Linked DNA regions of Schizosaccharomyces pombe. The protein of the gene in region 1 purifies or fractionates together with the protein of each later gene. This does not show direct contact. Each region holds a gene or a part of one and is shown in the gene's direction. Other genes may lie near its edges.

Region 1 (12,488 bases):
CCCTGATCAATCATCACGATCTGACCCAAACTTTGTAGAAGCCACTCCCGTTGTGCAGCAGACACCTGAGCTTAAACCGTCGCCCAACACTACTATACGTACCTCGAGTTTATTCAGTATTCCAAAATTTTTTAAAAAAAAGCGGTACTCATTAGGTCAAGACGATGCTAATCCCATGGAGTTGCTTCAATTATCGTTTCAAGAATTATGCATTTTCAACGAAAAACTTGAGCAAGAGTTAAATTTTCTACGCGAACGTATCGATGTTGAAATGCGTAAGACATTACAAATGGTTTGCGATTGTCATGTGGAATATTTTTCTGGTATTCTTGAGCAGCATGCCGTGAAGGAATAATAGTTCCTCGTTATTAACCTACTACTGTATAGAGGCTTTTGAGTTTTTAAGTAAGTGTTTTATAACTTGGCGTATGATGCTTTAACGTTTGTTTTACAATGTGTGATGTTTACGATATTTTTTATGCGACTTGAACTAATATTAATGAAAATTTACGAATCTGAGATTAATTTATTACTTTTTTATGCAGTCGAAAACATGACTTATTAATTTTCGTTAAATTTGCTCATGTTCTCAAATTAAAGTACAAGGAATGCAAAAATGTAATGACATTTCTATAATTCTTAGACAACTTTAAACTTCCCAACGTGGAATTGTTTCTTTCTTTGCTAAAGGAATGGATGATGTCTCCTTCGTACTTACTTCTTTCTGTTGTGCATAGATTTTATTTTGTTCTGAGCTTTAAAAAAATATAGCTCAGTAAAGAGGGATTATCAACAGTATAGGTTTTGTACTAACAATAAAATCTTCTGTGCCTTTTTTTAAGTATATGCATTTCCCTGTTCTGCTTTAATTTTATAAGATTATAGTCATCTCCGTCCGAAGGATGACAGTGATTTATATCTCAAACTATGCTTCTCAAACATGATTGATCTATATAATAATACAAGTAATTTCAATTGAGTGGTTTGAATTTTGCATTTTTGATGAGGACTTCACACACTACAATACTTTTTAGAAATAACTGATGGGTTCATTAAAGTTCTTCAATTCTCATTATTCGGTAGAAGTTGAAGATCTGTAAAATTTTTATAAGACTATAAAATGATGTCTATTTAAACAAATATTATCAGAGATTTACCATAACTGACATTAATAGGATAAAGATTATAAGTTAGCAGATATTCACTATGACTATTTGCCCAATAACATGTTTTGTTGAGATGTCTTGGTATTTCAAGTTAAATATACTGATGAAAATTGTTTTAGAAATATTCAATAATAAAGAAATTGTTATTATTGTAACATGAATTTAAACCATCACCTATCAGTACAAACGCAGCCCAACGCTTTACAAAGGGCTGCACGCTAACACTATGCTGGGAGTTTATAAAGTCATCATATATAATCATATCTTCGTCAGATGGGTTGGTAATCTTTGCAAGATAAATTTCCTTTCCCCTTCATGCAAATTCCTTAGAATTCACCTCACTCTGGTCAAAGAATATATTTTTTTGGATGCATAGTCTTTTCAAGCAGCTAGTTTTTTTCCTGGTAATGACGCTAACTGCAGCTGACAAGGCTGCATTTGATGCGGAATCCATGCTAGAAGCTCCTAGAAGGTCAGCAGTAGTTAGCAATCCTTTAGGGAATCTTGGAATATTTATAGAATCGAATTATTCCTTTGCTGATCACAAATATAACTCTGGAATTTACCTTTTGAATGAAAGCACTAGAAACCATCAAGAGCTTTTAGTACACGGCAAATCAAACAAAGCGCTCACATGGATTACTGATTCAGCTTTTTTATATGCAAGAGAAGATAATTCTAGCTCATCGAGTATCCTTCTTTTTGACGTTAACAATCGATCAGAGCGTATCATATATAATCATAACTCTTCAATATCTGATATAAGGATCGGAGAAAAGAACAACCACTATAGAATCGTTTTTAGTTCAGTGGATAATTCGTTAGTTAAGGGACCTTCAAATGTTCACGTATACGATCACTTGTTTGTTCGACACTGGGATAGATGGAACACAGGATCTAGGAATACCCTTTATTTTATAGAGCTAGATAAAAAAACGGAAAACTCAAATTATTTTGAAATTTCCTCAGAAAAAGCTATTGATTTGTTGAAGGAAACTGGCTTGGAATCTCCTGTCGAACCCTTCGGAGGTCTTTCTGACTTTGATTCTAACTACGACAAACTTGTCTTTGTAGCAAAAGACCCGAAATTAAATCCGGCAACACAAACAAAGACAGTTGTTTACGAGATTAATCTGAACACTCGGAATCTGAAGTCATTGAGCACTGCGAAGGGTGCATGCTCTTCACCAAGACTAGCCAAAGATGGAAATCATATTGCATGGCTTGAAATGCAAACACCACAGTACGAAAGCGATCAAAATCAAATAATGGTATATGAGTCCGAGTCAGGCGCTAAAAAGCACATTGCTCGTCATTGGGACCGATCGCCTTCCAGCATTGAATGGGGGGTTTTCAAAGGAGGCGAACCAGGTCTTTTTGCTATTGCTGAGAATTATGGGAAGCAAATTTTGTTTTTTGTTTCTATATTTCACCACCAAGTTATCCCAATGACAGAAGAACACTCTGTTTCTTCTATTAGTGTCCCTAAATCTTCTTCCTTATGGCTTACGAAGTCATCTTTAATCAATCCCCCTTATTACGCAAAGATTAACGTTGAAACGTTAAACGAAAGTGTTTTACTCGAGAACAATGTCGGATTATCGCCAACTTCTTATGAAGAAATTTGGTTTCCTGGCACTCATGGTCACAGAATTCATGCATGGATTGTAAAGCCCGAAAGTTTTGATAAATCTAAAAAATATCCTGTAGCAGTGCTTATACACGGGGGACCTCAAGGTTCTTGGACAGATAGTTGGTCAACGCGCTGGAATCCTGCAGTTTTTGCTAATGCTGGTTTTATTGTATTTGCTCTTGATCCTACTGGATCTACAGGTTATGGACAACGTTTTACCGATTCCATTGCTCTTGATTGGGGTGGTAAGCCATATAAAGATATTGAACTTGGTGTTGAGTACATAAAAAATCATCTTTCCTATGCTGATTCTGAAAAAATGGTTGCCTTAGGTGCTTCCTATGGTGGTTACATGATTAATTGGATTCAAGGACACCCTTTAGGTCGTCAATTTCGTGCACTTGTATGTCATGACGGGGTATTTAATACCCTCAATACTTTTTACAATACTGAAGAACTTTATTTTTCTATTCACGATTTTGGGGGTACTCCTTGGGAAAACAGAGTTATCTATGAGCGCTGGAATCCTTCAAATTTTGTGAATTATTGGGCCACTCCTGAACTTGTAATTCATAGCTCAAAGGATTACAGGCTTACCGAAAGTGAAGGAATAGCCGCATTCAATGTTTTGCAGTACAAGGGAATTCCTAGCAGATTACTAGTCTTTGAAGACGAAAACCATTGGGTCATTAAACCTGATAATTCCCTACGTTGGCATAAAGAAGTGCTTTCGTGGATTCTTCACTATACTAAAGATTGTAATGCCAATGAAGATGAAACGTTTTAGATTAATTTTAATAATACAACTACGATTATTTAATAAATTTTTTTTTGTTTCTCTCGATCTTTGTTAATTCTATTACCGCGGATAAAAAGTTGCAACCGCGGTTTATCCGAAGACATATCAAATTTAGATCTTTGCTGTAAGGGAAATCGAGTATTCACCGATCCAGCCATTCCTTAGCCAACATTGCATTAAATTTTTAGAGAGTCGATTTAGACTTGACTACCTTTAATTTACTTAATAATGCCGGAATACGAGATTCAGGTGCCTTCTTATAGAGCTGCTGCATTAACCGCCGAAGAACGTACACGATTACTTGCAAGACCCATTCAGAACACTCAAAAAATTCGTACGATTGTCCAACCGATAATCGAGGATGTTAAATCAAGAGGAGAAGCTTCTCTAATAGATTATGCTTCCAAATTTGAAAAGGTTCAATTGAAGTCGGCTGTCTTAAAGGCTCCGTTTGACGACGACTTAATGAAAATATCCCCAATGATTAAAGAGGATATTGATATTGCTTTTAACAATATTTTTGCTTTCCATTCATCACAGCTGCGTCCTACAATTGCTGTTCAAACCATGCGTGGTGTAGTCTGTCAACGGATGTCTCGTCCTATTAACCGAGTTGGTCTTTATATCCCTGGAGGAACTGCAGTGTTGCCATCTACTGCTTTGATGCTTGGAGTTCCGGCGAAGGTAGCTGGCTGTCCTCATGTAGTGATTTCTACGCCAGTCCGAAAGGATGGTACGGTTGCGCCTGAAATTGTATATATTGCAAATAAAATTGGTGCTGAGGCTATTATTTTGGCAGGCGGGGCGCAAGCAATTGCGGCCATGGCATATGGAATATCCGGTGTTCCTAAAGTTAACAAAATTTTTGGCCCTGGAAATCAATTTGTTACAGCTGCAAAGATGCATGTTCAGAATGATTACGGGGCTTTAGTTGCTATTGATCTTCCTGCTGGTCCCTCAGAAGTTTTGGTAATAGCAGATGAGACCTGTAATCCTGAAAGTGTTGCCTTGGATTTATTGTCTCAAGCAGAGCATGGTTTGGACAGTCAGATCATTTTGCTGACTGTCTCTCTATCTCCCGAAATGTTTGACCGTATTCAAAAAGCAATTAATGATCACGCTTTACGACTTTCTCGTTCGTATATCATCAAACATGCTATCAAGAAGTCGGTTATTGTACAGGTTGACAATGTTGATCAAGCTTTTGAATGGTCTAATTTGTATGGTCCTGAGCACTTGGTCTTGCACTTAAAAAATGCTTCTTCATACATTCCCAAAATAGATAATGCTGGTAGCGTTTTCGTTGGTCCTTGGTCACCTGTAAGTATGGGTGACTATGCGTCTGGTACCAACCATACGCTTCCTACATACGGGTACGCCTCTTCTTATTCTGGCGTTAGTACCGATAGCTTCTTAAAATATATCACTACCCAAGAGCTCACTGAAGAAGGAATCCAGCGGTTGGGCCCTACTGTTATTCGTCTTGCTGAGTTGGAGGGTCTCACTGCGCATGCCGATGCTGTTCGTGTTCGGGGAGTTAGACTTTGAAAGGGGTTTCCTTTTTACGTATACCTAATTAAGGATTCGGCTTAAAATAAAATTTGTGTTTGGTACTAAATTTGACAAAGTATTTTTAGGTTATGATTTATTTTATTTTATTTTATATTTTTCAATTTAATTTTAATAGTATGAATGGGCATCCAATATACTGAGTAATTATCCATTAATTCAACCTGAAGTTAGTTGGTGTCGCGTCGCGTGTCTCGACTTTTTTCTAGTGAAAACGAACATTCCCTTTAACCAAACCTGCAATTAAGCGTTACGGGAATTTTAACGGAAACGATCATTAAATAATGAGTTATTCAGTTTCAGCTGCTCAATTATGGTCTCGCAAGTTGGCAATGCAAGCCGAAGATATGCAACAGCATCAAAAGTCACAGAGCAATCAAATTGCTAGTTGTTTGGCTGAAATGAATACCAAACAAGAGGTAGTTAATCAAACGATCGGTCAACTAGGACGATCTATTAGTGAAGTCCAACAACAAAATTCTCAACTAGGTAAGTGAGATTTAGAATTTCCCAAGTGGTTGGAAGTCTGACTTAATAGTACTACAATCTTTGAATCAAATAAACATGTCTATGCAGCAAGTGGCCTTAGGGATTCAAGATTATGCCAGTCGTATCAATAAGTTGGAACAGACCATGTCAGATATGAATTTGAAATTTGAAGCTTTACAAAAAGAACAGAACAGTAATACAAAAACACTAGCTGATTGCACAAGCCAGATGACTATAATCACTAAAAAGCTAGATGCAGAGCTGAAAAAGCGTTATATGACTACTAAACAAACACGAACAGTACAAAATCAAACTATGCCCAGAAGTAATACAACAACGAAAAAGCGAGTACTGGCTATTGATTTCTTAGCAGATGACGATTATTAAAATACTTAGATCAGCCTCATTTAAAAGCTTTTCTATGATATCAATTAAAATTAAACACCAATCAAACCGTTTTTTCATAGTGAGCGATGCAATATATTCACTTTCAGCACATATTAAACTTGCCTAAACGCTGTTAGTATGCAATGAGCAAAAACTGTTGATAGACTTATGAAAGCCCAAATGATTGAATACTAAAACCCCTTGAGTTTACAAAGATTTCTCAGAATGAATTAGCTTGGTCACCGAGCAGAACTCTCAGACGGCACTTCCTATATAAAATGTTAAGCTTCTTCTTTTGTCATCACAATAGAATTCAAGGAATTTTCAGTTTCTTTCATTTTTGAATACCTACCTAGTTGAAATTTTTTATAGACAGTCCTTTTTAAAAAACTTCAAAGATTTTTACGAAATTATCTATATGCACTAATATAGCTGTTTTCAGCGTTGATGGCACTACGTACGTTTAGCGGTTTGCCAAATTTATAGCTTCGAAACAACGTGACGGCTTTTATCAACTATACGAGAGTCGAGCTTATTAAACATAAGCTTTCGTTAAAAAAAAAAGATAAAAGCATGAATAAAGCTACATATTGTGATTTATGGATTGGTTTACTGGTTTTGCTCAAAATCATAGTAAAAGGGTAGTTTCCTATTGTTGTGTAATCGATAACTTTTTCTAACATTTTGCCCTTCTAAAACAACTTTTCATATTATAAGCTATTCGTTTTACTGTTTAAGTTTCAGTCCAAAAATTAAGACTAATTTAAGAAGAGAAAATTATAGGTGACTATTTGTTTCCTTGTGTTCGTTTGTTGTATAGCGAACTTTATAGATTACAGCAGTTAGAGCTGCGGCAAATTAGTTGACTTGTGTTCTTTGCAACATTAAACGAAAACAGCAGGCAATACACAAATATACGTCCGTAGCATTTATCGTACAAACTTTCTAACGAAGCTAGTATTGCAATTTTTCTCCATATAAAAATTCAATAAAATTAATTAATAAAATTCAAAGTATTGTTTTGTGTTTATTCAATCTTGAAATCATTTAAAAGTTAAGTAAAAACCAAAAATTCCAAACTCCATCTTAATGTGATGCTTCTGACACTCATATTGTTACCGCCCTTTTAATTCACTCAACTTAGTATTCTTATGCAACGTACTGTTAGAAGTGTTTACACTGTGTTGCGTGCGACTGATTTTATATGTTGGAAACAAATTTTAAGATCCATTAATTTTACTTAGACACCAGTGAGAACAAATACAAATATTAGAAAGACTAAAAAATTTAGTGACCGATGCTATTAGATTTCTCAAATAAATATTGTTATGTCAGCAATACTACACTACGCTATGATACACTACTTGCGTATCACTATATGTCACATGTTCTAATTATATATCGTACCATGTATGATACGATATTGAGATTGATCTTAATGATGATCTATTAAGATCTATATTATCTGAATAATATAAATAGAGCTACTGCTGAACTGAGGAACGAGGTTCAGTTATGAGCTATATTAGTGATAGGTAACATTATAACCCAGTTAATACAATACCTATTCTCAGTTGCTACTTATACAACCTGTGTATTGTAATATAATAGATCACAAGGAAAACTCACCGCAGTTCTACGTATCCTTAAATCAGATACCAAACTGCGTAGCTTACATGTTAGTTAGTTTAACATACCGCATACCGTTACATCGTAGCTCGTAAGAAATACTCGCCGTAGTTCAATGTATCATTAAACAGATACCAAATTGCGTAACTGACATTAACTTGAATTTACGATGAGTAAAAATACTTGTTGACGTAAATTAAGTTAACGCATTTAGTTTATCTACATGAACGTTATGGCCTTTTGGTCGAAGAAAAATGTTTTCTTAAGTTTTGAAATCTAATTTAACGCAGGTTTACGCTAAACGGTTAAATAACGTTTTTTGTAAGACACGAATATTTTCAGTTCTTCTTTTCCCAAGTAGCGGTGCACGATTTATGCCATTATTTACTCGTATCAATACGTTGACATTTACTTAATCTTTAAATTTTTAATCTCGTTTAGATCAAGAGTGGTGTGTTTTCTGGTTTAAACATTAAAGTAAAGATTTGCGGAGTAAATATTAAGAGAGGTGCAACATGTCAATAGTCTCGTCTGTGGCTTTTGTTCCTCGCGGTTATGCATCAGAGTTTCCCAAGAGTTACGATATTGATGAGATAGAGTATGAGCGAATTAATCAGCTTTCAAAGTTAAAGCTCGAGGATGCTCGAGCTGATCTCCAATCTTCTATGGAAGACTCAAATAAAGCCAATGGGAACGGTGAAGAAACTACAGATGGAGCAGAAGGGGTGTTGCAAACAAGTGAAGAGGTAGATGATGAATTGAAAGTATACAATTTGGATACTTACGATGACGATGAGGAGGAAGCTGAGACAGAAGGGCCCGCTGCTATGTTTAGCAACATTCGTGGATTGGCTTACCATGAAAATGGAGAAAAAGATCCATATATCACTATTGATCCTCAGGAACAGGACGATTTGGAAAGAGAGGAAATGCAAATATTACCAACAGACAGCCTTTTGCTAGCTGCGCGCACAGAAGATAACTTGTCCCACGTTGAAGTGTATGTATATGAGCCAACAGAGGAAAATCTTTACGTGCATCATGATTTTCTTCTCCCTACCTTTCCTCTGTGTCTCGAATGGCTAGATTATAAGGTGGGTACGTCTGACAACGCTCCTGGAAATTACGTTGCTGTCGGCACGTTTGATCCTGAAATTGAAATATGGGATTTAGACATCATTGATGCAGTTTACCCTGCAGCCGTGTTGGGTGCAGGTGCCTCTCAAGTCAACAAGAAAAAGAAGAAGTCTAAAAAAATAAATGATAGTTATCACACAGATGCTGTTCTTGCTCTTTCTTCGAACCGAAATGCTCACAATCTTTTGGTTTCTGGTTCTGCAGATACCACACTAAAGTTGTGGGATTTGAGCACATGCAATTGTGTCAAATCTTTCACGTATCATTCTGACAAAGTTTCTTGCTTAGATTGGTATTCCAAAGCTCCATCCGTATTATTGTCAGGTAGTTATGATAAAACTGCAAAAATAGCTGACCTTCGCCTTGAAGAAGCTCCATCGAGTTTTCAAGTTACTAGCGATGTTGAAAATGTTGCCTGGGATCAACATAGCGAAAACAACTTTTTCATTGGCACTGATAATGGCATAGTTTATTATTGCGATGCTAGAAATCTCTCAAAGTCCGTTTGGCAATTGCAAGCCCATGATGGACCTATTTCTTGTCTCAGTGTTAATCCTTCGGTTCCTTCTTTTGTAGCCACAGGCTCCACTGATAGAGTGGTTAAACTCTGGAACACTTCCGATAGTTCACCGAAGATGGTTGTTTCTAGAGATTTGGATGTTGGACGTGTGTTTACTTGCTCCTTTACTACGGACGAATCAACTGCTTTCCATCTAGCTGCCTCCGGAAGCAAAGGAGTCGTTCGTGTCTGGGACACTGCAACTAATCCTGGTGTTCGAAAAGCGTTTGAAAGTAGAGTTACTGAGGAAGTTACTAAAAAAGAGCGCATCGTTCAGTTAGAAGACAGAGGTGCCGGGGAGGACTCTTCTGATGATGATGACTATGAAGATATAGAAGACGATGATGATCAAGATGCTGAGATGTCCTAATTCTCTTGATTTATTTTAAGATTATAGCTTCATGTTTTCAAAAACTCTCCTAAGAGGCCGCTTCATGGGTTTAAAGGGCTCACTAATTGTATAGAGGATTTTTTGCATAATTCAATATTTGGAAAAAAGGGATCAGGTTAGTTACAATAAATTTCATTTGATTTGGTGTATGATGGTCTTTAAACTTTAGTAAATTCATCCACATTAGTGGAGTAGCAAATGTATGCATTAAGTGTATATTGGGTTTACCGTTACTTGGTAAATTTTGCCTAACAATTCTTTTAATTCATATGACAATTTTTATTTAAACATTGAAGTACTGATAAATTGTTAATTGTCAATTACTCAGGTTCATGATTTTGCACCTTTGGGGGGCCGGAGGGTCTGAGTAAGTTCGCCTTCCGCCAGCAACCTTATTGATTTAGTAGGTATGCTTTCACATAATCAAAATGATTTGCTATTTACGAAGTTAATAGATAAATTAACTGATTATATGTCCAGTAAAGATGCAGCTACATCGCTTGCCAGTCGAGTTTTGACAATTGCCAAGGGTAGCTCGTCCAGCACCGAGTTTTCTAATGCATTACATACATTTGGACGATTTTCCGATAATGACAGCGTCCTTATTTACGATTTATGCAAATCTATAATTGGTTTAGAGACAAATTTGGGGATTTCTAAAGATAAACTTCCTGGGAATGATGGGTCTCAGGTAGCTGGATTAGTTTTGTCTAATCGTTCTGGTTTGAAAGGCCGAGAACCCAAAAAATCCCAGCTTGGATTGGATGTTCTTGCTGTTCAAAAAAAGAAAGAGAAATCTCAAGTAGAAGGGCGCTCTGAATTATCCCAAGTAGAAAATGATTCCTTGGAGTCTATAGGAAACTATGACAGGGTGGAATTTAAGAGACCTAAAAATCCACATGAAAAACATTTTCGTCCCCTTCGTCAACGGTCATCTGTTGACGATCATCAAGAGTTTGAAAGTGAAGATGATAAATATCGTAGAAATTCTTATTCTAGCTGGTCTGGAAGTAATTTCGAGTCTTCCAATGGATCTAATCGTCGGCGGTATCGAACTCAAATGGAAGAACCTTTATCCTCAAAACGCAGAAATCGGTTTGGTAATGGTTCTCGAAGAGACGTCGATAGCTCTAAATATTCGCACGATAGTGATTATTCTTATGGTGCACACAGCTCTTGGGATGCCCGCGACGTTGAGTACCCCGAAGAAGATCCCGAGAGTAAAGCTGATCGTCAACGTTGGGAAGAGGAGCAAGCTCACTTGGATCGTGATTGGTACATGAATTCCGAGTCGCAAAATTTACTTGGCGATGAAGTTCACAATCCATTCTCCGATTTTGAAACTGTCGAAGATCGTGCACATGAAGCTGAGTTTATCGAAAAGCAGAAAAAGCATTTGTCAATTGAAGCATCAGACAGATTTAAAGAAAATTCTATGTGGGAAAAAAATAGAATGATCACATCTGGTGTTTCAAAAGCTCCAGGGCTCGAATCTGATTACTCCCTTATGGAAGAGAGGCGTGTTCACTTGCTTGTCGATGAACTGCGTCCTCATTTTTTGGATGGGGCCGAATTTTCTTCTAAGAAAGTCGGTGATATTACATCGGTTCGAGATCCACAAAGCGACCTTGCAATAAATGCTAGATTAGGATCTCGTCTTGTACGTGAACGAAGAGAATTTCGGGAGCGTCAAAAAGCAGCAAGTGCTGCTACATCCCTTGCTGGTACATCTTTGGGTAACGTGATGGGTCTCAAAGATTCTAATGATGAAGATGCCAAGGCCGGTACCACACCTGTTAAAGTAGCTGGACGTTCTGAACAGTCGAATAAGAAGGATACTGAGTTCGCTCGCACGAAATCATATAGAGAACAAAGAGAGTTCCTACCTGCCTTTGCCGTGCGTGAACAGCTTCTTTCTGTTATACGTGATAACCAAGTTCTTATTGTAGTTGGTGAGACTGGTTCTGGTAAAACTACCCAATTAGCTCAATTCTTATATGAGGATGGCTATCATAGAAATGGCATGATAGGGTGTACTCAACCTCGTCGTGTCGCCGCCATGTCAGTTGCAAAAAGGGTTAGTGAGGAAATGGGTGTTCGTCTAGGTTCAACAGTTGGTTATTCAATTCGTTTCGAAGATGTTACTGGACCGGATACCGTAATTAAGTACATGACTGACGGTGTTTTACTAAGAGAATCCTTGATGCAAAATAATCTAGAAAAATATAGCGTCATTATAATGGATGAAGCACATGAGCGATCCCTTAATACAGATATTTTAATGGGTTTACTAAAAAAGGTGTTATCCAGGAGAAGAGATATCAAGTTGCTCGTTACATCCGCTACTATGAATTCCCAGAAATTCTCTGATTTTTTTGGAGGCGCCCCACAGTTTACAATTCCAGGTCGTACTTACCCGGTGGATATTATGTTTGCTAAAGCCCCTTGCTCTGATTACGTTGAAGCAGCTGTACGACAGGTATTGCAGATTCACCTCTCTCAGCCTGCAGGTGATATCTTAGTTTTTATGACAGGGCAGGAAGATATTGAAGCTACATGCGAGATCATTGCAGATAGGTTAAATCAGTTGCATGATGCACCACGCTTGTCCATTTTGCCTATCTACTCACAAATGCCTGCGGATTTACAAGCAAAAATTTTTGATTCCGCCGAGCCAGGTGTTAGAAAGGTTGTGGTCGCAACTAATATTGCGGAAACTTCGCTCACTG
Region 2 (9,285 bases), on another chromosome or scaffold:
CAGATTATTGGGCGACCTTTTGAAAGTGAGGGTCTTTAGATGTTACAGCTGCAGTAGCTTCAATTACCTTTTCAAAAATACCTTTGTAGGCGGCTATAACACCGTTATTGTTCTTAAGAGTTCTTCCTACACCAAAGTCCAAAGGTTTGCCAAACATATCAGAAACAACACCACCAGCCTCTTCAACAAGAAGAGAACCACCAGCATGATCCCAAATTTTTTCTTCAAATGTCATTTTGGTTGGTAAACGAAGGTAGATGTCACCATCACCACGAGCAAGACTAGCGTATTTGGCTTGAGAATCCATCTTGGTAGGTCCACGAGTAATCCCTAAGTACTTTGCAATTTCTTCTTGAGTTCCTTGCATTGAATGACCAGCCTCTACTCCTTCGCAAAATTTTGAATCCTTGGTGTTTTGAACATCTTGCATGTGCACTTGAACTGGTTCTAATTTTTCGTTATGGAGAGAATACTGGAAGCAACCATGGTTACGAACAGCGGACATTATGATACCTTTGGGACTTGTCTCGGGCTGATTAAAGTCATATGGAAGATTAGGGCATCCAATGGCACTTACCACAGGTTTTCCATTCTCAATCAAAGCTAAACAAATAGCATACTGGGCACCACGTAGAAATCCTTTAGTTCCATCAATGGGATCCAAAGTCCACATACGACCATTGCGACCACCGTGATATGATCCTTGGTCAATAATGCTCATCATTTCTTCAGCTGACTTGATTTGACCAAGCTCTTTGTATTCAGTAGCATGTTGGATAGTTTCTTGAACTAATTCCCAAACACGAGAGCAGGTTTGGGTGTTTTCTCTCAAAAAGTCGGAATCCTCTTCGCCAACAATTGGATCATTGGGAAATGCATCTTTTAACATAGAGATTACGATAGCTTGAGCACCAAAATCGCCAATAGTCACAGGTGATTTATCATCTTTAGTAAGTGCCCCAGCAGCACTCTTCTCCTTGATAAGTTGATTAAACACTTTTTCGGTCAAATAGCTAGCTCTGCGCACAGCAGCAATAGCTAATTGTTTTTCGGCATCAAAGCTCATGGTAAATAATTTTCTAATGTTATTTATTAATGGAGGTATGATTTTAGCACCAAATTTCCTGTTAACACGGAGTTTGGAAATTTTTGTAAACCTGGGCAGTGGAAGTGCGAAGAATATGAAATCAGCATATACGGTGTTTAATTGACGTTTCCACATTTAACCAAAAATATTGTTCAAATAGAAGAAAGAACTAAAAAATTGTTATGAAACGAGAAAGAGTTTCATTTTTTCTGACTAAAAGACCTTTTTTTTTTGTAAAATCGCAGGTTATGCTAACTTTTATTAAACAATAATGATTATGTAGTTTCTATTGTGAAAAGAGCATGTTAATATTTTAAAACAGGTTTCTCCATGTCCACATTTTAGGTTTTCATTAATTATACAAACGACACTACTAAAGTCTGGGTATTGGCAAAGCAGTTCGCCAACCCTTCCAACCTATGGAGAAAGGATGAAATATAATATTAAGGAAAAAAAATATCATTCTGATGGAAAAAACGCATAATTTAAAAGCAGTGCAAGTCCGTATCTTGCGTTTCCCTTTAACAGGCAAATATGCCTAAAATTTTTATATAAGTGTAGATACCAAGGATGAAATGAAGGCATAAAAATATTTTAAAGGGATTGATTAGTAAAAGAAGAAACTGCTCATAAAATTTCCTTTCTCTCAAAATACTGTTGTTTGAAGAGACTTGAGAAATTAATGAACAATCAGATATTCCTCAATACAGATTGAAGAAATAGTTTCCTTATGGCAAATTACAATCATATGTAATATATTGTGATAACAAGACTTACATTCCATAAAGTCTAGTCGTTTTCAGGTCAACTCATAAATGTAAACAAAAGTAATACACCGTGACGGAACGTACTGCGTTATCAGATAAATGAGGTTCAGTCTAACGCGTCTTCTCATATTCAAACATAAACAAACATGAACATTTTCCCAATTGTTAAGTACTCTGTAGCTGAGGATTCGTATACTACAGATTCCTCCCATATCAACTGGTCACATTATTCAGATGGAGGTTTTACACTCTCATTAACGTCTGGATTGCTTCAAATTCGTCAACACGAAGAATTAATTGTACGCGACATGAAACCATATTGCTAGAAAAATTCAATATTTTTAACAAACAAACAGCAAAGTATAAACTTGTTAGATCTCTGGCACCAATTGATACCGGGAACGAAGGAAAAATGTCTAACTCTGCTTTCACGCGCTCCGTGTATGAATATTCGTGCTTTCACTAATAATGTAAGTAAAACAAAAGCAGATTTATTCAAAATCACATTGAGGCCTCTTTTTTTAAAAAAAAAAATGGAGTGTTGATGAAGCGTATTTTGTTGTTAATAAATTTAGGTGATGAAAAGATTTCAAGTGAAATTCCCATCTGACGTGCATTATATGAAAGCCAAAGTTGAATTTGAGAAGCTAGGCCTGGTGTTCAAAGATGCAAAGTCTTCCTCTGAGAAGAAGCAATTCAATAACTCCCAAAGTCAATCTAATAACTCACAGGAACTTTCGTTGATGAACAATGCATATAACAAGTCATCGGCGCAACAGCCAAATCTTTTATTACAACCGAGTTATATCCCCATGACCCAAACAGCAACAACTGCTGTGAACAATAGCACAAACTATGTCAATCCAGCACCACTGCAGCATGTCATGCCAAATGCTGAAATCTTCTCCAATACACCACCGCTTAAGCGATTCCGCGGGGATGCGGGCATGACCCAAATGCCCCTTCGAAGTGATACATCAATTGAAAGTATTACTGCGTCACAACAACCCACTTGGGATGAAAACGTGGTGATAACTTCATCACCTTTTAATCCCAATCGTAATGCCTACTCTTACGGTGCAAACTCACAATACCCCATTATTGCTGCTACGCCGCTGAACTCTCAGACACAGGCTTCGTGGGTTGCTCAACCGGAGAACCAAGCATACGCAAATTTGATTCCATCACCCCCAACGACTTCACAAATCCTACCAACAGAACTTACTGAAGAGGAAAAGCAATTACGCTCCAAGGTATTATTCTATCTAAAACAAGACAGCTTCATCCAATTATGTCAAAGTTTGGAACGGGTATGGAACAAGATGTAGGAAGACAGACCAATTCAACTTAATCCCAAATTTAAAAAAGTAGTAAAAATGGAACGAAATCAGGATCGGAATGGTTATTTCGACAAAATTGATGTGTGACCACAATTTGGCAACCAAATGAGAAACTTCATTAAGTTCACATTCTTCGAGTACCGTGATAAAACATTTGTTGCAAATTTTGACATTATTTAACGAAAAGTTGGTCGAGATCTCAACTGCATATGATCGTTGCTGAGGATTAGCAAACAGAAACCGCCAACACAACAATGTTGAAATAAATTTCTCTACTTGTTGCATGACTCTTTTCCCTTAGGCTTGTCCATGCAGAGCATTAAAATCAAATTGAGAAGATCCCGTTCCGATCCTTGGGGTGTAAGCCTCCACCACGACACATAATCGGTATCAAAAGACAACTCTGAAAACTTTTTGATGGGGGAATTGCCGCAAGTACAGCATGAATACTAGTGTTAATAATGGGTCAGGTTACAACGGTTAAAATTGAGTTGGTGGTTGGTTTTGATAATTGACTTAACAATCCACGAGAGGAGTTCATGACATTAAGTACGAAAATGGTCAAATAGTTAGTTTAACTTCAAAAATAGACGAACCAAGTGGAGAAAGTAAATGTTCCGAGCACCAAAAAAAAAACATGATATTTTTTAAAGGGATGAAACAGCTAGAACGTTATGAGTGTAAAAAGGATTTTTTTTTTTTTTTTGGGTACTTCCGAGAGAGACAACAGTCTACAAAGCTTCACAATGATTTCAATGTCCGTGAAGTAAACCTTAAAATGTCGAATCGACTTTGAAGGGTTGCATGCGAATTATCAAATAATGTTTAAAAGTGTTGTCAATGGAAAATGAATCCCGTTTCCCATTTCACTTAATCTAGCTTATCTGCCTAATCGGCACTTAAGGTAGATGGAAACCAGAGAATATTCTTTTTTCCTCAAAACAAAAACGCCCCCGCTAGTAAACCTAAAGACAATACCGACTAACGATATTGTGATTTTCACTTGGTGGAATTGGCGGAAATGTTTTCAAAGATATGAAGGCATAACCGGATCAAACGGTTTCGACAATGCTAATAGAATTCTCTTCACGTGGACGAACCGGTTTCCAAGGAGAATAAAGACATAATAATAAAATTTAACACTCCTTGTTTTATTTCGACAATATTTATTGGTCTGGTCCGAATTGTTCATTTTGGTAACTACAACATTACTCCCTATTTTTAAGCACGTTTTCATTACCCCTAATTGAAACTTGATTCTATCAACTTTCAATTTACCGGGGCTCGTTTTATTATTCTATTCTCACCATCATTCGATTTTCGCTTCATTTCTGTTGAGGGACTGCTTCCTAGATTGGTGTTTAACGCTTATCGCAACGCATGGAGTTGCATTTCATCCATTTTCTTTTGAAAATAAAGTGTGACCTCTTCTTGTGCCTAATATTGACTTGACTTTAAACACTGTAAAAATAAACGCTGTTTTTTAAAACCATCAATAACTTTAAATCATCGGTTCCTTTTTTTCTTTTATAACGAGGACTTTCTCATTAACGCACTCTGAAATGATTCTTTTCACCCTGATTTTTTTTATGCGATTGTATTTGCTCCTCACGATATACTATACTAATCACTATCGTACTTAAAAAATAGGCCGATCGTCCGAACCTCGTTTGTCTGTGCAAAAACAACTCTCGTCATTCTTACACAAAAATTTCGTTTACAGCGATACTACAAATTTTTTTCATAAGTTATAATGGTTGGTGGTAGCACATCTAGGAGTGTGAAAGCATCGCCGATATTGTGTTAGTGCGACAAGGCTCATCAAGGGATTAGGGAAATTTTTTCTTCAATAGTCTTGCTAGAAAATTACTCGGAATTTGAATCGTTGTCGATATTTTTTTTTCTGAAATTACAATTGTTCATTGTCTCTGCGTAGGTGCAAATTTCTGATTTGCTCTACAGCTTGTGATCTTAAATCTACTTAGTCAATCGACTCTGTACTATTGACGCCTGGGCCCCCTCACATAATTCAATTGCGATCTTTTTTTTTATTCTTCTTCTGTGGACTTAAGGTGCGGAGACTTTGGTTTATTTGTCTCCTCTTGTGTTTCTGTCAAGCCCGTGTGCTTGCATATTTTTTCAGAAAAATCCCGCATTGGTACTTAACTACTGTACTTGCTATAACACCTTATCCATTAGTCGTTGAGGTATATTTGTGCATATTCACTACACACTCATACACAACAGCAAAGGCGGCAACTCTCCGCCATCATTACTTATAATCAAGCCAACTCCATCAGCCAACCCAAACCACGGCGCCTTCAATTGATTTGTCTTTTCCTTAATTATCGGTAAATTTCACCGATTTGATTTAGTACCGCTTTATTCACTGTACGGCGTTAATTGCAAGCCATACCGCCTCCGATTTCCCTATTCTTCAATATCCTTAAGAAGGTTCGCCACGCTATTAAGAGCCTTGCAAAACGTGCATAAGTGGCTTTGAGCTCTAAGTGACTTCACTAGTGCTTTCTTTATAAGCACAATACATCGTTGGTTGTTCACGTCAATTGCGCTTTTCTTCTTGCCAAGAGTGTCGAGACGGGACTGCGCTTTATTAATAATCGTCGGCACCGTTTTGCGTCCGGCTTTCCTGGTTGCATTCGTTTATCACTTTTGAGCTGCTTCGTCGGCCACGATTAAAGGAAAAAGCAGTAGATTTACTATTTCAACTTTTACCTTTAACAGTTTAATCGTGTGTCTACAACTTTCGAAAGAATAGTTGAGTTAATTGAAAAGTAAAGACGAGAAGCTTGTTTTTGGAAAAAAGAAAACAGAAACAAAAATAAAAGTACGGGAATTCAAATTCATATTCGAAACAAACTCGTTTAGTTTAGAGAGCTCCTTCTATATTGCCAGTTTGCTAAGTTTTTTACATCAACTTGAAGAGACTGTTTATATTCGCGAACGAAGCAATTTATAGAAAATCGAGGGTCAGATATGCAATCTTGGGTAATTGGATATACGAGATATACTATTTTTTGCACTTCTTAAGGGTAATAGGACTGATTACCCAAGTGGCTGAAAATTCTGTTTTGCTTTCTTGTTTGTCTATTTGAACATTTCTGAAGTCATAGATTTGTCTTTGGAGTATTCCTTTTTTTTTTGTCTTTTTTTTTGTTTTTCGTTCTGATATTGCTTTTCTTGTTTTTTACTTTCTCACCTCCTCTCCTCTCTTTTTTTTTCCTGTCTTCTTGAAGAGAAGTTTAAACTTTGTAATAAGGAACAAGGTTGCTCATGCTTCATTTAGATTATACGTTTAATGTTTCCGATGCCACGAGTACGAGTTCCATCATCATTGTCTCTCGCAGAGAGTTAGCTAACCTGAGAATCATGGTCATTATAGCTTCAGCCATATCTATCGTTTTCAGCTTAATTGCTATCTTCTGGCGATGGTCTCGTCGGCGAACAATACGTGAACAATTTCATATCGCTCTTTTTTCTGTATTGTTTATTCGTTCCATTGTGCAAATGATTCATCCATGTCTAGCATTAAGCGATCCTTTTTTTTGGGCTCCAAAACATCGATGCTTTACAATTGGATTTTTTCTTTTGGTACTTGTTCGGATGACTGATTATTGGATTTTTATCAACATATTGCATAATGCTCTTTTGGTGCTTTTCCCCCATGTTGATACTGAACGAAGGGGTCTATATCGTTTTCGGCATACTGTGTTTACACTGTCATTTGTAATTCCTTTAACTATTGGCGGACTTGCTTTTACCAATAAAAGAAATACATTTGTCAATTTACAAACCCGATGCTACCTTCCCTATACCCCTGTACGATTCATGTTTGGTTTGAATTGGTCATTTGATTATGCGCTAAGTATTGCAATTATTGCTTTACAAACTTGCATGTTCATCTCGATCAGAAGGAAAATCAAACGTTTCAAGAAATACTCACATCAACAAACAAATGTGTTTGATACTTTAAATGTCATTGATTCGTATCCTACCGCTCCGGATCAAGTAGCTCTTCCACCATTTCCCGACACCAACAGTACTTTAACATATACTCCATCTAATTCTCAATCCATTTACTCCTCGCAGTCTCAACCTTCTCCCTATTCGAGACCGTTACTATCCTCTGTGCATCCTAATTTGCCTCCTGGTTCGCAGTCTACTCCTGCTAATCTAAATCAATCAGGAATACATTTCGAACAGGATTTTAGGGATAGTCCAAATCGCACAAATGGCCTTGAAGATCACACGAGTTTTAAACTCAGTAGTCCATTGACTAGTGACGAAGATGGTGCTTCTAGTGTTTTGGCTGCATATGGAAATGATATGCAAGATGATCCCCTCCTTAAACAACGGAAACGCATTTTAAGTCAGTCTAAGTTTTTGTTTGCTTATCCTGCAATTTTTATCTTTATGTGGATTCTCCCTCAAATACAGATTATCGTTATACTTGCCCAACCGTTGCACTGCTCTGGTTCATGCAAACGATTCGCATTTGTTGCAGTCTTTGCAGACAACTTCGTTGCCATCTTTATTGCCTTGTCAGATTTTATTTGGATTTGTTATCGTGGCTACACGTATTTGAAGGAAAGAGATTCGAGTAAAAGTTATTGGGATCAAATAAAGGAGTTGACTTTAAAATGGTGGCGGGGTAAATTTGGTGAGGAAAAATAGAAGGATTTGTTCTTTTTATTTTTGTTTATGGTGAAGTCTCACAAGCTCCTCTTCTTGTATTATAATTTCTTTTTATGACGATTTTATTATCACTTTACTTCTTAAAATTTTCTCATAGCCTTTGCATTCATATGTCTTCCTTTTTTGTTAAAGCCATCCAGTGAATGACAATGGAATGTGAATGGAAACAACTGTGGTAAACCAACTAATATTTTAATATCTCCCATTTTTGCATCACCTCTAATATATGTCATACTTTAATTTTCGCTTCCCAGAATTTATTTCGAAGTATTAAATTTTGGCACTACTTAACTTGGCAAAAGGCTCGGATTGGAAGATGGTTTAAAGCTTGGCTGCTTCAAATTGATAAGGCCGCTCACAATTATCGATGTATATATATGTACTGTGTCTATGACAGTTTTCTATTCATCTCGGGGAATTCATTTTTGGAACGCTTAGTCGCCTAAACAATTCTTCCTTATATAGAATGTTTATGTTCAGCTTTACCAACTATCATTCACTCGTTTTCATTTTTCAGATGCTCTTACATTTTACTGCTTGCATTAAGCATCTGTCTTCAAAACTATATTCAAAATTTATGTCCCCAATACTATATTTCCTCAATACATAAAATGGATGGATTGTGCATAGCAATACGTTTATGTTCTTATTTTGTATATGTCGATGTGCGAATAGTCATTCACCATTAGCTATTCTTTTGTTGTGGATAAATCGCTTTTCTTCCTATACGATTTGTAAAATTGCGTCGGACATTTGTTCCATGCCTTCTTGTTACATATGAATGTGTTAATGTTTACAAATTTAATAATGTATTTTTTAGTTTTTCTTTACATTTGGTAAAGCAGAATGGTAGCACAGTATCTGATTGCTTTAAGCGTTTTAAGTCAATTGAGCATCCCGTGATTAGTAGGTTTTTGTATTGAAAACTATACGGTTATAGAGAAAAAAAGTAGATGTAAGATGGTTTTCTAAATAAAACAGTTAATTTTATTACATTGTAGTATATAAGCACGCTTGCTTGATTTTATTCTTTTCGGTACACCACCGCGAAACGCGACTCGTAACTTGTACTAAACACACCACTGAAAAGTAGACTACTCGTGGAATCAGCTGTAACTTTATATTCAATTATTTAAAAATCACTCTCTAAAAGATCGCAGATATATTTTTAAGTGGTTGATTTGCTTTTTCATCGCTCTTTAATTCACCCTAACAAACTTTCATAATTTGAGATAATACGTGCTCATGGCTTATGATGCTTTTGGCAAGCCGGGCTATGGTCCCGACTTCAATAGCGCTTTTTCTCCAGGAATGGGAGGAGGCGCTGGATTTAATGAATATGATCAATCGAGCCAGCCCAGCGTCGATAGAGTAA

What was found.
Region 2: the proteins of rec15 (region 1) and rec7 purify together in Schizosaccharomyces pombe (affinity purification with western blotting; one study listed by BioGRID). This does not show direct contact.

The regions. Positions count from the first base shown.
Region 1 is NC_003423.3:2,156,091-2,168,578, forward strand, and holds rec15 (meiotic recombination protein Rec15), read left to right. Parts: upstream 1-5,396; 5' UTR 5,397-5,451; coding exon 5,452-5,656; exon of another isoform or gene 5,657-5,705; coding exon 5,706-6,043; downstream 6,044-12,488. Other genes in the region: atg2402 (autophagy associated protein), read left to right, coding at 1-355; ppp16 (acylpeptide hydrolase), read left to right, coding at 1,535-3,586; histidinol dehydrogenase His2, read left to right, coding at 3,827-5,146; SPOM_SPBC1711.15C (uncharacterized protein), read right to left, coding at 6,023-6,121; pwp1 (WD repeat protein), read left to right, coding at 8,188-9,738; ATP-dependent RNA helicase Prp16, read left to right, coding at 10,169-12,488. UniProt on the Schizosaccharomyces pombe protein: Required during the early stages of meiosis for meiotic recombination.
Region 2 is NC_003421.2:1,541,785-1,551,069, reverse strand, and holds rec7 (meiotic recombination protein Rec7), read left to right. Parts: upstream 1-2,000; coding exon 2,001-2,153; exon of another isoform or gene 2,154-2,210; coding exon 2,211-2,324; exon of another isoform or gene 2,325-2,429; coding exon 2,430-3,182; 3' UTR 3,183-4,019; downstream 4,020-9,285. Other genes in the region: tol1 (3'(2'),5'-bisphosphate nucleotidase/inositol-1,4-bisphosphate 1-phosphatase), read right to left, coding at 5-1,066; G-protein-coupled receptor Git3, read left to right, coding at 6,489-7,889; single-stranded DNA-binding protein Ssb2, read left to right, coding at 9,156-9,281. UniProt on the Schizosaccharomyces pombe protein: May be involved primarily in the early steps of meiotic recombination.